Linked DNA regions of Ovis aries. The protein of the gene in region 1 purifies or fractionates together with the protein of each later gene. This does not show direct contact. Links are inferred from orthologs where the notes say so. Each region holds a gene or a part of one and is shown in the gene's direction. Other genes may lie near its edges. The genes, in order: RIOK1, COPRS, WDR77 and EFTUD2.

The links.
Region 2: the proteins of RIOK1 (region 1) and COPRS purify together in Homo sapiens (affinity purification with mass spectrometry; 3 studies listed by BioGRID and IntAct, with this or other methods). This does not show direct contact. The link is inferred for Ovis aries from reciprocal best matches to the Homo sapiens genes RIOK1 and COPRS.
Region 3: the proteins of RIOK1 (region 1) and WDR77 purify together in Homo sapiens (affinity purification with mass spectrometry; 5 studies listed by BioGRID and IntAct, with this or other methods). This does not show direct contact. The link is inferred for Ovis aries from reciprocal best matches to the Homo sapiens genes RIOK1 and WDR77.
Region 4: the proteins of RIOK1 (region 1) and EFTUD2 purify together in Homo sapiens (affinity purification with mass spectrometry; 3 studies listed by BioGRID). This does not show direct contact. The link is inferred for Ovis aries from reciprocal best matches to the Homo sapiens genes RIOK1 and EFTUD2.

Annotation. Positions count from the first base shown.
Region 1 is NC_056073.1:47,116,001-47,119,896, reverse strand, and holds part of RIOK1 (serine/threonine-protein kinase RIO1), read left to right. Parts: intron 1-68; coding exon 69-273; intron 274-1,029; coding exon 1,030-1,120; intron 1,121-1,985; coding exon 1,986-2,055; intron 2,056-3,418; coding exon 3,419-3,461; intron 3,462-3,896. UniProt on the Homo sapiens protein: Involved in the final steps of cytoplasmic maturation of the 40S ribosomal subunit. Involved in processing of 18S-E pre-rRNA to the mature 18S rRNA. Required for the recycling of NOB1 and PNO1 from the late 40S precursor.
Region 2 is NC_056064.1:18,000,654-18,005,152, forward strand, and holds the start of COPRS (coordinator of PRMT5 and differentiation stimulator), read left to right. Parts: upstream 1-1,530; 5' UTR 1,531-1,568; coding exon 1,569-1,667; intron 1,668-4,241; coding exon 4,242-4,293; intron 4,294-4,499. UniProt on the Homo sapiens protein: Histone-binding protein required for histone H4 methyltransferase activity of PRMT5.
Region 3 is NC_056054.1:88,869,249-88,873,801, reverse strand, and holds the start of WDR77 (methylosome protein WDR77), read left to right. Parts: upstream 1-1,419; 5' UTR 1,420-1,500; coding exon 1,501-1,615; intron 1,616-1,866; coding exon 1,867-2,052; intron 2,053-4,087; coding exon 4,088-4,229; intron 4,230-4,553. Other genes in the region: ATP5PB (ATP synthase F(0) complex subunit B1, mitochondrial), read right to left, coding at 798-834, 1,111-1,150. UniProt on the Homo sapiens protein: Non-catalytic component of the methylosome complex, composed of PRMT5, WDR77 and CLNS1A, which modifies specific arginines to dimethylarginines in several spliceosomal Sm proteins and histones.
Region 4 is NC_056064.1:44,341,383-44,345,772, reverse strand, and holds the start of EFTUD2 (116 kDa U5 small nuclear ribonucleoprotein component), read left to right. Parts: upstream 1-1,306; 5' UTR 1,307-1,358; exon of another isoform or gene 1,359-2,405; intron 2,406-4,305; 5' UTR 4,306-4,309; coding exon 4,310-4,390. UniProt on the Homo sapiens protein: Required for pre-mRNA splicing as component of the spliceosome, including pre-catalytic, catalytic and post-catalytic spliceosomal complexes. Component of the U5 snRNP and the U4/U6-U5 tri-snRNP complex, a building block of the spliceosome.

The DNA of each region.
Region 1 (3,896 bases):
TCTTAAGTAAATACATATGTAAGTCCAGTTAAGAATGTGTAAACAGGCTAAAACATTGTTATTTCTAGTGAAAACATTGACTTGAATACCGTCAAAGAGGAAGGTGATGCTGTATTTGAAGACCTTCAGAGTAACGCCAATGAGAAGATGGGTGAGAGTGAGCCGGAAGAGGAGGAGGACGGGGAGGATGACGATGACGATGACTGGGCCTGGGGCGATGGAGTCGGAAAGCTCACCCGGTGTTTCGCTTCAGGTGGAGGGAGTAACCCTCAGGTATTTTATACACAGTCCTGTATGTCTTTGCGTTGTTTGCTTATGTCCTCTTGAGTTGTTTTCTGTTATGGTAAAAGTCACATAATATAAAGTGTACCGTGTCTTCACCACAGCTAACTGCACAGTTCAGTGTTCAGCGGTGCTGCGCACTCTCACCAGGGTCCGGCTCCCGAATTGTTCACTTTGCTAAACTGAACCTGTGTCCCCATTAGGCGCTAAGTGTCTCTTGTCTGTTCATAAGTGAAAACAAAGCACCTCTACATACTTAATGTGCTTTTCTTTATTTACTAGTTAAGCTGCACTTTTCTCTGTTTTGTTACTATTTGCAGTGAACTGCATATTTGTGTCTTCTCCCAGGCAGTTTTTTTAAGGCTCTTAATCTTATGATGATTTAAATAATTTTTAAATTTACTGATTATGGAATGAATCCACATCATTATCAGCAATATGGAAATGATGAAGAATGAAAGTCTGTGTAGCCTAGGACTGCAGAGCAACATAGCCTGCAGATCTTTTAGTAAATTCCAGAGCCACAAAAAGTCCTTTTAAAAAAGAAGACGTCTCTGAATGTCTAGCATATTTCAAGTGCATTTTTAAAACCCTCTTGGGCAAATGTAATTGATCCTTCCCTTCCCTTAGGGTACTCCCCTAAGTATTGATGCTTTAATAATTAACTATGAACCAAGGGAAGATGGGATGAAATTTAGGCTTGTATGTATATCTAGAGCTTTCATCTCTGGAACTCATTTCTTCTAGGCCAATAGACAGACTCCCAGCTTCAATGCAGCCAAAATGTCTACTCCAGCAGACAAAGTTTTACGGAAATTTGAGAATAAAATTAATCTAGGTGAGTTTTTAAGATACAGTTCCTCTCACTAGGTAATGAGAAAACTCTTCAAAGACAACAAAAAGTGTTATAAAATTTTATTAGATCAATCAATGGATATATTCAGTGTTACAGGGTAAATAATAAAGCTTAAAGGAAATTAAAATTTAGTAATTAAAAACATGACTTCAAGAAAAGACTCTAGCTTACACTTTTTTAGTCCTGTGTTCTCTCCTGTTATGGAAATACAAAGGTACAGATGCTCATTCAGGTTATCATCGGTTCTGTATTAGATTTGTAGTAGGGTTACCTTGTAGTAGAATGGTGGAAACACTTGAATATAGTCAAGTGTTGAATATAATCAACTATTGAATGTACTCACATTTTGTTTGACTTTCGGTGTGGCATTAATCATTTAATGACCCGTCGAATCCAGGGAATCACAGTGTGAATTTGAAGCCTCTTGGGAAACACGGGGTCTTCTTTCTCTCGTAGACAAAGGCTGTTAGGAGCCTGGTATGACAGCTCTCACATCTGATCATCCCTAGCACAGACCTGTAATTGGAAGTGAAACTGACATTTTTAGAATTATAATATTTATGATAGTTGTACAAAATATTAAATGTCTGAAAGAGCAGATAGAATATTTTTTAGGGATTTCTGAATCTAGATTTCTCTGGCTGAGAAATGACACCTGTCATGATGAAAGTGATCATCTTTGTTAGTAAGTGCTTACCCTTAAAAACACAAAACACACTTTTCATTACTAAAATACATAACTCCGTGTAATAAAATATTTAGAAAGTAGAGAAGGGAAAGGGGAAAAGTATCCTGTTTAGAAACTTTGGCTTATATGTTGTTTATGTTGTGGATTTTTTTTTTTTAGACAAGCTAAATGTTACTGATTCTGTAATAAACAAAGTCACTGAAAAGTCTCGACAAAAGGAAGCAGATATGTAAGTAAGATATCAAGTATATACAGTAGAGTAAATAAAACGTGACTGATATGAACTAATTGTAGACAGATAGTAGCACGTCTGTCGTAATTCTTTTACAAAGGATGTTCCTTTTTATACCTAAACCAATTCTTAAGTTTAAGTGAGGATATCCTGTGCGTTTCTAACTTGAAAATATTAGATGAGTTTTCTTAAGAAATCTGTGCTAAAACTATAATCGTGTAAAATTCATGAAAGTGCTCTCAGGGTAACAGTGCTTGTAGATTTCAGTTTAAACTAAAATGTTAGAGTATAAAAAAATGTCCCCTTTTTAGAGCTTATTAAGGATTGGTCCCTTCCATGAAGTATTTTTTTAAAATGGAAAGTGAAAGTTAGTTGCTCAGTTGTGTCCAACTCTTTGCAATCCCACAGACTGGACATGCCCAGCTCCTCTGTCCATGGGATTCTCTGGGCAAGAATACTGAAGTGGGTTGCCATTTCCTCCTCCAGGGGATCTTCCCTACCCAGGGATTAAACCCGGGTCTCCTGCATTGCAGGCAGATTCTTTACCAACTGAGCCACTGGGGTAGCCTTAAAAATGTAAGAGCAGATTTAGAACTAAATAGTTTAACTGAAAACAGTTTCCATTTACATTTCTATTCTCAAAAACAAATGTTTAAGACTTGGCTCACCTCCTGTTGCTAATAGCTCTAAAGCATTAACAACATGTTACAGAAAACACTAAGATCATAAAAATAGCAGTGTTAGAACTGAACTGAAAACTAAAACGCAATTTTCTTCTGGTTTATTATTACACATAAGGGATACCAGCTTTTTGAGAAACAGCCCATCGTATGTCACTAAACTGCCTGTTTGGCTCTTTCATTGGTTTAGGTTAGTCTGTGAATTGAGTCACATAGTATATGAGCCAGAGTAATCAGAGTCTATGTTTTTGTGCAGTAGCTGTGTTGAAATGATAAAAGCTTGTTTCTTTGTAGAAAAGGACTCTGAAGAGAAAGCCTTATAAATTACTTTAATTCTGTACTGAGAAAATCATTAATGGTTTAAGAAATAGTACTTACAGACTTGTTCTCTTTTTCCAGCATAGTTTGTTTTACCCCACTACTCTTATTTAATCCTTCTGAAATATGGATGAAAGTTTTTTTTTCTTACTGCAGATACGCTCCCTTTGCCCTAGGGAACTGAACGGCTTGTTAAAGGCAGTGAAGTTTCACACAATGGTGAAACTACAACGAGGTTATGAAATGCGTTATTAAAGAACTACCTGCTTAGGAATATCATGGAATAATGTACATTTAGAACCTTTTGATTTTGGCTCCTCTGAATTTTGAATGTCACCTTTACTTTTTTGGTTTTGTCTTAGGTATCGCATCAAAGATAAGGCGGACAGAGCAACTGTAGAACAGGTATGGTGTAAATGAATGTGTTGCGCTCTTTAAAGTAGTGCTTCTGTCTTTGAATCATGATTTGCTTTGATCCTCCTTGCTTCATGCTAATGTCACCTAGAATTGCTTTTGTGTAAAATTGCTCCTCCTCATAGTTTTGAGTTTAGAGATCTACATTTTGCTTTATTTCTGAAAGCACTTTAAATAGATAAATTAGAATCATGCCCTGCAGAATGGCCCATGAAGCCACCCAGCAGTGCTTTCATCTTCTTGGGGGAAGCAGAACTGCCTGTAAGACCAGGAATCTTTTCTTTTGTCTCAAACAAGGTCTGCGGAAATTTTGTGAGCCTTCCCAGGAGATGAGTCAGGTATCTACCACAAAGTGTGGGTGTGGGTGTGTGGGTGTGTAGGTGTGTGTGTAGAGAAAAGGAGAGAGACAGTAATGCCTTCAGATAT
Region 2 (4,499 bases), on another chromosome or scaffold:
TGAGTTGTCTCATCCATTTGTGGGAGAGTTGTAGCCTGATTCCAGCCCAAGTTCTAGAAAAACCTGTTTATAGAGAAGAGTAAAATGGGATTAGAGCTACAATTGCATAAAAAGTTTTTAAACTCTTATGCACTATTAGGTAGATGCAGGTCAATTGACTATTCTAACAGGTTTTGACTTCCAACAAACTGGAAAATTCTGAAAGAGATGGGAATACCAGACCACCTGACCTGCCTCTTGAGAAACCTATGTGCAGGTCAGGAAGCAACAGTTGAGAACTGGACATGGAACAACAGACTGGTTCCAAATAGGAAAAGGAGTACGTCAAGGCTGTATATTGTCACCCTGCTTATTTAACTTATATGCAGAGTACATCATGAGAAACACTGGGCTGGAAGAAGCACAAGCTGGAATCAAGATTGCGGGGAGAAATACCAATGACCTCAGATATGCAGATGACACCACCCTTATGGCAGAAAGTGAAGAGGAACTAAAAAGCCTCCTGATGAAAGTGAAAGAGAAGAGTGAAAAAGTTGGCTTAAAGCTCAACATTCAGAAAACGAAGATCATGGCATCTGGTCCCATCACTTCATGGGAAATAGATGGGGAAACAGTGTCAGACTTTATGTTTTGGGGCTCCAAAATCACTGCAGATAGTGATTGCACCCATGAAATTAAAAGACGCTTACTCCTTGGAAGGAAAGTTATGGCCAACCTAGATAGCATATTCAAAAGCAGAGACATTACTTTGCCAACAAAAGTCCATCTAGTCAAGGCTATGGTTTTCCAGTGGTCATGTATGGATGTGAGAGTTGGACTGTGAAGCAGGCTGAGAGCCGAAGAATTGATGCTTTTGAACTGTGGTGTTGGAGAAGGCTCTTGAGAGTCCCTTGGACTGCAAGGAGATCCAACCAGTCCATCCTAAAGGAGATCAGTCCTGGGTGTTCTTTGGAAGGACTGATGCTGAAGCTGAAACTCCAATACTTTGGCCACCTCATGGGAAGAGTTGACTCATTGGAAAAGACTCTGATGCTGGGAGGGATTGGGGGCAGGAGGAGAAGGGGACAACAGAGGATGAGATGGCTGGATGGCATCACCGACTCGATGGAGTTGAGTTTGAGTGAACTCTGGGAGTTGGTGATGGACAGGGAGGCCTGGCGTGCTGCTTTTCATGGGGTTGCAAAGAGTTGGACACGACTGAGCGACTGAACTGAACTGAACGGGTTTTGAAGGAAAGCATGTCAATTGTGATTGGGTAGGGGTAACACTCAGGCGTTCCAGACCCAGCTAGTCCTCTAGCCCTGGGACCTGCATCGCCAGTGGCTACAAAAATTAAGATTCAGGACGGTTGGGTGGACTAGGCTTTCGGAGGCGGGCACTCCCCGCCCCTTACTCCGCCCCGTCCGTTGCCCCGCCCCTGGCTCCCTCTTGACCCCCCGCGCCCCGCCCCCCGGCCGAGAGCACCCCAGGCTGATTGGCCCTCAACGGCGTATCCTCGGGCCGGCAGCCAGGCCGGCGCGTCACGTGGCCGAGCGGCGACCTGGGCGCCGAGCCGCGGGCAGACAGGCATGGACCCTCCGACCGCCGGGGCCCAGGCGCTGGGGGCCGCGGAGCAGCCGCGGGGTCTGCAGCTGCCGAGCGGGCGGGAGGCGCCCCCGATTCCGGGGGTGAGCGCGGCGCGGGGCCTGGGCGCGTCCACCACCTGCGGTCGGCGGCGGGAAGTTGCGGGGGCTCGCGGGGCGTGGGCCATGGAACCGGGGAAGCGCTCCCGGCCCTCCTCGGGCAGCCCGGCCGTTTGGGCGCGCGCCCGAGCTGGAAACAGCCGGGCCGCGGGACTGTGGGGCGGGGCAACCTCGAGGACGTGGGTGGGCGCGCCGGGCTGGGAGAGCTGGCTGTTGGCTCCAGGGCGCCTTTGCGTCCTTGCTAAATGGGAGGTGATGCTGCTGACCGAGAGCTGGGGCTGCTGCTCGGGGGCCTGGGCTGGGGCGAGGTGAGGGCTGCGAGGAGAGCTACTTTCCCTGAAGGATCCGTGTCCCATGGTGGGGATGCTCAGCTAAGCCGGAGCACCGGATGATGGCTCCTGCGCGCTCTCCTTTCACTGAAACCAAAAGGCCGCGTTTGACGCAGGGTTTCTAGAAACTTGTTTTCTTTTGCGCGCCAGACAGCTCCCGGTTTCTGAAAGACTGCTATTACAGTCATGTCCTGCCCTTGTTCAATAATCCCTTTTAGACGGTGAGCTCCTTGAGGGTAGGAACGCTCTATTTAGTGCTGAAAACCCGGTGCGTAGCGTAGTGCCTGGCACTTCACACACGCATATTTATTAACTGGATGGAAGAGGAATGCTTATCTAAGCATCAGAGACATCCTAACCAAAATAAGATAGGAAAAATGTAGTGGTAGGCTTATAAAGAATATTACTTTACCGGGCAGGTAGGATGAGACTGATTTTGGCAGGCCACAGCAGGAAGGTTCCTGCACTTCCTCTCCAAGATGAGAGGATAGTGGTCGTGGCAGAGGCGTGGAGATGAGGATGTGCAGGGCAGATGGTTGGGAGCTTGGAGAGAGAACTGTGCTGCACAAGTTGATGGAGCCTGAAGGGACAATGTGGATGCCATGGCGAATTTTGTACTCTAGCAGTGGAGGCCTGTTGAGGTTTCTGGGCAGAGTGGTGATTTCCAGTGTGAGGCTGTGGCCAGATGGATGAGTGTGGGACCCTGGTGGTCCAGTGGCTAAGACTCTGTGTTCCCAATGCAGGGGACCCTGGTGGGGGCTCTCATATGCTGTAACTAATACCTGGTGCAGCCAAATTAAAAAAAAGAAAACGTGGGTGAGTGGGAAGGCAGTTAAGGAGCTCTTGCAATAGAAGAGGTGAGAAGTCCCACTATTGGTCAGCAGGGGTGACCGGGAATTGTCACCGACTACTGGAGATGGAATTAGCTCATTAAATCCAGGTAGGACTAGGTTGTGAGCTAACGAGCAGGTGCCAAGTACAGTTTAAATATAGGGGCAAAGAAGGTGGGTTTCAGCTCAATAAATGTTATATTCCTGCTGTGTGCTAGGTGTCTTCATCAGTGTTATCTCATTATAAACCTCCTGCTGGGTTAGAACAGTTGTCCCCAATTTCCAGAGACAGAAACCCAGGCATGGTGGCTGAAGTGATGTGTCCCAGGTATACTCTGAGTGAATGGGATTGAAGTCACGCCTTCTCATGCAGGCTGTGAACATTTCTCGCCTCACTTAGAAAGACATCTTCACAGGTGATAGGATTTCAGGAACGAACTCTTTTTTTGTTTTTGGCCGTACTGCCCAGATATGGGATCTTAGTTCCCCGACCAGGGATTGAACCCATGCCCCCTGCATTGGAAGCTTGGAGTCTTAGCCACTGGATTGCCAGGGAAGTCACAGGATTTCAGAACTTTTGCGCGGTGGGAGCAGAGAAACCTAGCGATGGCTATGAAGGAAGACGATTTCCTGTCAACCGCTGATTTCCCTTGAACAGCTAAAGCTCTTTAGTCCTCCTGTGTCAGTCAGGAGATGAAATCTGATAAAAGAGCTATTAGCTAGATAAAAAGTTAAGGTAAAAATGAACATGGAGGTATCCACTGCAGGGAAACAGCAACCGGCCCCAGGGCTGAGGGAACAAAGGGGTGAGATTGGAATGACTAAAATGTGCAAGCTCAGAGGAGAATTTCAGGGAGCTGAAATTCCAGCCTCTGAGGACGGGGTGCTGTCCTGGCTAGTTTGGAGTCTCTGAGCTTGGAGGAGGAGACCAGACCTCTCAAGACAGGGCCTGGTGAGGGACTTCCTTGGTGGCCCAGTGGCTAAGACTCCACGCTTCAATGCAGGCAGCCTGGGTTTGATCCCTGGTCAGGGAACTAGATCCCACATGCCAAAATTAAAGATCTCAAGTGCTGCAGCTTAAGAGGTGGTGCAGCCAAATACATATTGAAAAAAAAAAAAAAAAGATAGGGCCCAGCGAGGAGACTGGCTCTGTATGTGCTGGCAGCCTGTACACTGGATTCAGTAGGCACTCTGTGAAGGCAGGTGATCCTGCCGGCAGGGGTGATGCCCACAGGAATGGGAAGCAGCAAGTCCCAATGTAACAGGGCACAGTAGAAATGTGGGTTGCAGGGTCCCACCCCAGCCTCGCAAAGGAGGGTCTGAAAGGGTGGATATGGGGCTGAAATACTGGCCATTCCCGAGATATCCAAGTCCTGGGTCCTTGTTTCTTCTTCCTGCAGGCTGACCACTCCAATCAGGAGAGAGCGCCTGAGAACGCCACAGATCGGCTAGGCAAGTAGGCGACAGAGGCGGGGGTGGCTCTTGGGAGAGACCAAGGAAGTCTGTACTGTGAAAGCTTATCGTTGCCAGAAAACCTTTCCCTGCATGTCATTTAAACCACCTGAAAATACACACTGCCCGATTTCCTCATGTGAATGAAAAGATTGGTAATGAATGGCCTTGTTTAAGATAGAACATCTTATTGAAAATAAATTATC
Region 3 (4,553 bases), on another chromosome or scaffold:
CACTGTTTTTAGAGTTCCCAGGAACGTCCCTTAATTCTCATAATCCATAACAAACTGTTCTCTCTATTTTGCGTATGGAGAAATTAAGGTCCCACAGCTTGTTAAGCAGAGGAGCCAAGTTTACTCTCAGCTTCGGAGTCCTCATTGTAAACTGCTCTATAGCTACCTCCTCTGCTGTGTGAAGGTAGGTACTTAACCATATAATTTCTTTAGTTTTGGTTATGGAGGTGCAAGATAAATATTTGCTGAAACACTGAATAATTTCTCTGATCTGACAGTAAAATTTGGAATCTGGGAGACAGATTAAAAACTACACGTTTCATTTTTCAATTTAACAAAACTTGCCCTTGGATATGCAATCTAATGGCACCCCACTCCAGTACTCTTGCCTGGAAAATCCCATGGACGGAGGAGCCTGGTACGCTGCAGTCCACGGGGTCGCATAGAGTCGGACACGACTGAAGCGACTTAGCAGCAGCAGCAGCAATCCCGATACAGGTTGCGGCAGCTCTGTCTAGCTGAAGGTCACAAGGGAGAGGGGCGGGGCTCAGGAGACACCAAAACCAGTTTCTAAACAGTTTAGTTAGCACACATTACTTTTTCTCTTAACCTCTACTATTAGATGATACAATAGTGTTCCAGGCAGTTACAGAATCACACGTGAATTAGACGTTAAGCGTTCCAATATAACCAAAATGAAGGTAATTATTGGCTTAAAGCTAAAAGCAGATTAACCCAGAAGTGAAATGAGGTGATAAAGCAAGGGCCAAAGGAAATATTACATCCCTTACACTTACCCTGGACCGAGGAAGGCTGCGTTCTTCAGAGACGGGGCTACAAAAATACGAAGCGTAGGTTAGCAAGGTCACGGTGAAATCTGGTTTGCCCCTTCCTCGGCCCCACAGAGCTCAATCACTAAGGCCATGTGTCCTCCATTCCTACCCCCAGGACCCCACACTCACCTTCTGAGCGGCGCTCCTCACTCTTCACTCAGACCCAAGTCTCACTGCGCTTTTCTTCACGCCCTTTCCTCCCACCCGCTCCAAGCAACCACAGACGCCTTGTTTTACAATCACCCTGCTATCCAGGACCAGGGTGTGTACTTCTCACCTGCTGCGGCGGCGGCAGAAAGTACCACCCGGGACAGCATTGTCAGGTAGCGTTCGCACAGCAATCTTCCCGCCCCAGTGACCCCGACAGAAGAAACTGTCAGGGACAGAAGCAAGATGGACGCTCACAAGTCTCGCGAGAAGAGAACTTCGTGCCCTCTCCGTCAACTTCCCGTCTTTTTACCCCTCGCGATAAGAAGCAGAGAGCCGGTTGCGGGAGGGTGCAGGCGGGAAAGCCGGCTGGGCTCTTAGAAGCAGCTCTCGCGAGATGTAGGGAGGCTGTAACTTGCCTAGAGGGGCGGAGGCCGGAGAGGAACCACGTGGGGACTCCTGGAGCTGAATCTCAGGCGGGCATCCAGTCTGGGTCTAGATTGAAGTTGGAACCGTGGAGATGCGGAAGGAAACACCGCCGACCCTAGTGCCCCCGGCAGCCCGGGAGTGGAACCTTCCCCCTAATGCTCCCGCTTGTATGGAGCGGCAATTGGAGGCTGCGCGGTACCGGTCTGGTGAGCCTGGGTCCTAGGCCGGGGAGTTTCCTTATCCCACCCCGGAGTGCCCCTTCCTGGGAATAAACCTTCCAGCCCGCACCTCGATTCCCCCGCTTGCCAGCCTGACCCCTGCTTCGCTTCGCTGAGCTCACCCCAGCCGTGCCCCGCGTTCCCGGGCTCGGGTCCAGATGCATCTAGCGGGCTGCTGGGCGGTTACCAGGGAAACGAGCCTCTCCACTCCTCATGCTGACATCTTGTATCTCCTTTAGATGGGGCGCTTCTGCTTGGGGCTTCCAGCCTGAGTGGCCGCTGCTGGGCTGGCTCTCTCTGGCTTTTCAAGGACCCTTGTGCCGCTCCGAACGAAGGTTTCTGCTCTGCTGGAGTCCAGACGGAGGCCGGAGTGGCTGACCTCACTTGGGTAGGGGACCGAGGTATCCTAGTGGCTTCTGATTCAGGTGGGTCACTTGCTCCTCAGCTGTACAGGTGGAATGGAGGTCGGGCTGGGCTCAATTTTTAATGTCCCATACTCGGTGAAGGGATTCCAGGTGAGATGCTTCAAATCCTAAAAGATGATGTAGTTAAAGTGCTGCACTCAATATGCCAGCAAATTTGGAAAACTCAGCAGTGGCCACAGGACTGGAAAAGGTCAATTTTCATTCCAATCCCAAAGAAGGGCAATGTCAAAGAATGTTCAGATTCACACGATTGCACTCAATTCACATGCTGGCGAGGTAATGCTCAAAATCCTCCAAGCTAGGCTTCAACAGTATGTGAACTGAGAACTTCCAGACGTTCAAGCTGAATTTAGAAAAGACAGAGGAACCAGAGATCAAATTGTCAACATCCACTGGATCATAGAAAAAGCTAGAGAATTTCAGAAAAACATCTACTACTTCATTGACTTATGCTAATGCCTTTGACTATGTGGATCACAGTAAACTGTGGAAAATTCTTAAAGAGATGGGAATACCAGACCATTTTACCTGATAAACCTGTATACAGATCAAGAAGTGACGGTTAGAACTGGGTGTGGAAAATTAGAACTGGACAGGTTCCAAATTGGGAAAGGAGTATGTCAAGGCTGTTTATTGTTACTCTGCTTATTTAACTTATATGCAGAGTACATCATGGGAAATAACAGGCTGGATGAAGCACAAGCTGGAATCAGGAGAGAGATCAATAACCTCAGATATGCAGATGACACCCTTATGGCAGAAAGTGAAGAGTAACTAAAGAGCCTCTTGATGAAGGTGAAAGAGGAGAGTAAAAAAGCTAGCTTAAAACTCAACATTCAGCAAACGAAGATCATAGCATCTGGTCCCGTCACTTCATGGCAAATAGATGGGGAAACAATGAAAACAGTGGCAGACTTTATTTTCTTGGGCTCCAAAATCACTGTGGATGGTGCCTGCAGCCATGAAATTAAAAGACGCTTGCTCCTTGAATGAAAAGCTACAATAAACCTAGACAGCGTATTAAAAGCAGAGATATCACTTTGCCCACAAAGGTCCAATATAGACAAAACAACTTTTTTTTCTAGTCATGTATGGATGTGAGGGTTGGACCATAAAGCAGGCTGAGTGCCAAAGAGTTAATGCTTTGGAACTGCAGTGCTGGAGAAGACTTTTGAGAGATCAAACCAGTCAATCCAAAAGGAAATCAACCCTGAATATTCTTTGGAAGGGCTAATGCTGAAGCTGAAGCTCCAGTACACTGGCCAACTGATGCAAAGAACCAACTCATTGGACAAGACCCAGATGCTGGGAAAAACTGAAGGCAGGAGGAAAAGGGGACGACAGAAGATTTGATGGTTGGATGGCATCACTGACTCATCAATGGACATGAGTTTGAGCAAACTCAAGGAGTTAGTGAAGGAGAGGGAAGCCTGGTGTGCTGTAGCCCATGGGGTCACAGGGAATTCGATGTGACTTAGAGACTGAACAATAGCAACAACATACTCCTTGCTTGGGGGAGCTTGAAGGTTTTGGTCCCAAAGGAGAATAACTGTGTGGGTAGGATATACCCGTCCCAAGATTCCAAATTGGTGGAAATTTCTAGCAAAATTCATAACAAAATTAAGACATGAATGAAACTGTTTTTCTCTGTATCCACCCAACATCAAGGATGATATTGATCTTAAAGATGATGCTGAAACCAGTCTATGCTCTTTCCATTTCTTCCCAGTTTCTTACATGTCTTCATTCTGCTTTCTTTGTTTTGAATGTCAGACTTAGTGGAAAAACCAGTGGAGGGTTTCATGTTTAAAAAAAAAAAAGAATAGAGGTGTTGGCAGGCATTGCATGGAAGGATAAAGCTGGGACAATTAATGTCCAAATAACTGGGACTATTTAATAATACTAAACTGTGTGCTGTTCATATCATTGTGGAGGTGTCATCCTTGTCTCTCAAGAACTTAGCATCCTAGAAGTGAAGTGCTGTCTTGGTGTAACCCCAGCTTGTTTCCTTCACCGTCTTCCCCACCCTCAACAGGTGCTGTTGAATTGTGGGAGCTGGATGAGAATGAGACGCTTATTGTCAGCAAGTTCTGCAAGTATGAGCACGATGACATCGTGTCTACAGTCAGTGTCCTGAGCTCTGGCACACATGCTGTCAGTGGTAGCAAAGACTTCTGGTGGGTCCCCACTCTCATTGCTCCTGTTTCTGGGCCTTCTTTGGGTGTCTTAGGTGTCACATTAGCCTCACTAAGTAATGTTTTGGGCTCATTATAAGAACCCAGTGACTAATTATGGCATACCTGTAAGGTTTCTTGGACTTCCCTGGTGGCTCAGACGGTAAAGCGTCTTGCTTACAATGAGGGAGACCTGGGTTCAATCCCTGGGTCGGGAAGATCCTCTGGAGAAGGAAATGGCACCCCACTCCAGTACTCTTGCCTGGAAAATCCCGTGGACAGAGGAGCGTGGTGGGCTGCAGTCCATGGGGCTGCAGAGAGTCGGAC
Region 4 (4,390 bases), on another chromosome or scaffold:
TTGGTGATGGACAGGGAGGCCTGATGTGCTGCGCTTCGTGGGGTCGCAAAGAGTTGGACACGACTGAGCGACTGCACTGAACTGAACAGAAGGCGGCTCTGTCCATGAAATTCTCCAGGCAAGAATACTGGAGTGGGTTGCCATTCCCTTCTCCAGTGTTATATTCCCGATCCAGGGATCCAACCCGGGTCTCCCACACTGCAGGCAGATTCTTTATGATCTGAGCCACCAGGGAAGCACCCATACTTAAATGTCTTATAAGGAGAAAAGATACTTTCCACCCGAAACCAGATGCAATGACTGAGCAGGAAATCAAGTGGACGCGACAGAGGAAGGGGCTTAATGATCCCCGTTCTCAAACCCCTCTGTCCAGCCCAAGGCTGGAGCATAAATCTCTAGGTACTTGGGCAACCTCTTTAGTTCTGTCTCTGTACTTCTGCAACTTCCGGGTGTCTGAGGCTGACTGATTCGTTCTATAGAGATCACCTATACGAGTTTTAATCTTGGATCCGCATTTACTGCTGTGAGACCTTTCTGAACCTTACTACTACTGCTCCGAGCTATTTGCTAAAGATCACTTGGCGAAGTCATCCCCACCAAGCTCCTCAGTCCCTGGGATCTCCCAGGCAAAAATACTGGAGTGGGTTGCCATTTCCTCCTCCAGGGCATCTTCCTGGCCCAGGTCTCCAGCACTGCAGGCAGATTCTTTACCGTCTGAGCCACCAGGCAAGCCCCAACACGGAAGCAGGAGGCCTAAAACCAACCCTCCACCCTAACATGGGTAAGCGAAAGACCAAGAAGTAGGGTGGGCTGGCCAGGAACTGAACTCAGGTGTCCTGACTCCTGCCTAGTTCTAAGCCTTTCCCAGTCACTGAAAATCTAGAACATCTAATCCTCCTGCCCCCTGACCTTCACCCCAGCAGCCGGGGCCTCGGTTTCCTTTCTTTCTTTGGGGATGCCCAGACACTGCCCGACGAAGTCAGCTCAGCGTAGACCACGCCCAGCAGCTGTGGTTGCCCAGCAACTGCTACAACAGCCTCCCACGTGATCGCCCCGAAGGCCCCCAGTCAGGGTGGCCCCGAGGCGCCTGATCAGATTCACGCCTCCTCAGGCCTCGCTTTCTCTGGAGCAGCCCACGCCGTGGTTTGGGGACCCACAGTTCCTCTTCTCAGGTTCCGGTGTCCGCAGCCGGGATTCCTCCGAGCTGGTCCACAGGCAGAGGGCTGCCCTCCCGGGAAGAAACGCAACCGCGGCGCCTGTGGGGTCCTTCCGAACGGCGGGCGCAGGCGGTGAGGCGGCGTGGGGCGGAAGCACGATCTCCAGCGGCCGACTGGGAGTTTTTGGCTGAGCAGCGGGAGGTGAGTGGCGCTGGTCAGCGTCAGGGGAGGCTTGCTCTGGTGGAATGGGAAATTAGTCAGATTTGGAAGAGATGCTATGTGTTATATGCCACTTTCACTTTACAGATGGGTAAATTGAGGCGTGGAGTAGGATAGAGAATGAAAGCCCCCCCACCCCCCAACCGATTCCTGGGTTCCCTGCGTGTCGTCCGTCTATAAAACCCTTTCCCTGGGCAGGGGTCGTTCTTGCAGTGTCTATTCCCCTATCTTACTCTCTCTTCCAACTGTGCCGCCTTCACTTCTCTATCAAGCTCCCTCCGTCGTTACTCTATGTTCCTTTGAGAGCCTGCATTGTAGCGGGAAGCTGCAGTGAAGTTTGGTACCGAAATTCACTAGTTTTGTGCAACTGTGGGCAGGTCAGCTGTCTTCTCTGTGCCTTGTTGGGGCCATACATTTCGTCATTCAGTAAGTGGTTCTGTTTTGTGGCAGGCACCCTTTTAAGTGAAAACAAAAACAGTCCTTGCTTAAACTGTAGTTGGAGAGGTGACGGTAAATACACGAAGATACTTGTCAGCTAATGATAAATGTTAATAAAAATAATAAAACATTGAAAATAGGGGTTGGAGAATGTGTGTGTGGGGGGGGGGAGTTTTTTAGAGTGACAAGGGAAGGTTTCTCAGAGAAGGTGCTGTTTTAGTAGAGACCTGAGTGAGATGAAGGAACAAGGTATATATGCCCAAGGGAAGAGCATTTTGGAAGAGAAGAGTAAGTGCAGTGGCCCTGAAGCAGAAATGACTTGGATTATTTCATGAACAGCCTTGTATAGAAATTTCTGCAGTCATTTCATGGGTGTCTTGGGAGAATGAAATGTGCACAGAGATGATAGCTCTTTGGAAATAAAAAGAATATGCATATGAAAGTTTCTGTGATAAATCACATTTACTTATTAGTAGTGGAGCTCTTAATTCTCTATTTTATCCACAGTCAGCACTCCACAAGGGGCACTGAAGGAGGTGGAGGGATTACCGTTGTGGAAGAAATACCAGTATCTCAAAATTGAACCTTCTGGTCAGTTAACATTTATCTAGTGCCTACTCATGTGAAGTGGTGTCTTGGGCATTGGCACATGGGCACAAGGAGCACAGGGTTCCTGTATTCAAGAATGGCCAAAAAAGTTTTTTAACTAAAAAATACAAATAAAACAGACAAAAGAATGGCTAAAAAATAATGCCAGTTAACATTGATTGATCCTGGAATCATGATGAATTCTTTACACAGCCTATTTTTTTTAATTCTCATAATGCTTTATGTGGTGAAAATTAATCACTTTATTTTCCAATTGAAGAAACAGGCTTGGAGAGGTGAAGGGCTTACTGAAAGTGACATAGTTATTAAGTGACAAAGTTTGGATTCAAATCTAGGTCTGCCAGTTCCAGAGCCCTGACCAGTAACCCATGCTCTGGTCTGTTGTCTATTACTTGTAAGCTGTAGAGTTGTTGTTGAGGGTAGTTAATGCAGTTAACTACCGTTGATGACAGAAGTAAATGCTGATAAAGACACAAAAGGCTGTGGCATCATAGGTGAGTGAGAAATTGAGGCTCAAGGAAGACTTGAAGGAAATGGTCTTTGAACAGTTATTTTGAATAGAATTTCAATACTTGAAGTGGAGACAGCCCACGAAATATTTATGAACTGCGGAGAGAAAACAAGTAACTTTATACAGTGGAAAAGCCTGGTAGACACCACCACAATCAAGTGGTTACGTTAACATCACCACTGATGGGAGAAATTAAAATCATATGCCACTTGTTAGGAGTTGCACCGAAAAGAGCACAGCCTCACTACTGTGATAGTCTTACCAAAAAAAAAAAGCATAACTTGACTCTAATCATGAGGAAACATCAGACAAACTTAAATTCAGGAACATTCTACAAACTCACTAGCCTGTAATCTTCAAAAGCGTCAAGTCACAGAAATCAAGGAAAGGCCAAGGATTGTTCCAGATTGAAAGAGACTGAAGACATGATAGCCAGGTGCAAACATGGAATCCTCTGCTGTGCAGGACATTAGTGGAACAATTTCTGAAACTTGTATGGGGGCCTGTGGATTAGGTGTAGTGATGTGTCAGTATTTTCTGATTTTGATGGTTGTATTGTGGTTATGCAGAAGAATGTCCTTGTTTGTAGGAATCATGTGCGCTAAGAACAGGGGTTGGCAAACTTTGTCTATTAAGGGCCAGATAGTAAGTATTTTAGGCTCTGTGGCCATATAGTCTCAGAGGCAGCTACTCAGCTGTTACAGGCTGAAAGCAGTCACAGACGGTATAAAGAAAGGGGCATGGCTGTGTTCTAGTAAAGCTGTTTTCATAGACACTGAAATTTGAATTTCATAGAACTAATTGTCATGTATCATGAAACACTCGTCCTTTGACTTTTTTTTCCAACTGTTTAAAAATATTTTAAAAATCATACCTTCCAGGCCGTTATGAGAACAGCCAGATTTGGCCACAGGCTATAGTTTACCAACTTCTGCACTAAAGTCTGAGGAGGTGATGAGACATTGTGTCAGCAACTTATTCTCAAATAACTTAGGAAAAAGTGATGTGCACTGTTTTTGCAACTTCCTGTATTTAATTATTTTAAAATTAAAATTCTTTTAGTATTAAAAAAACAAACAAACAAGTGGGCTGGGACTTCCCTGGCAGTCCAGTGGTAGGACTCCATGCTTCTACTGCAGGGGGCATGGGTTCAAGCCCTGGTGGAGGGGAGGGGAGGAAGTGGGCGCAGTGTATGTAAACAGACACAGGATTAGGACAGAGAGCAGGGAAAAGTACAGGGCTTTAGAGGAGCAGTTGGTGGGTTGATGTAACTGGAGAGGAGAGTGTGTGAAGGGATATGGTCAGCCATAGGCTAGGGTGGAGGCCTCGGTTTCCTCACCAGCATCTAACTTTTCTCTTGTTGAATTTTAGCACCATGGATACTGACTTGTATGATGAGTTTGGGAATTACATCGGACCAGAGCTTGATTCTGATGAAGATGATGATGAACTGGGC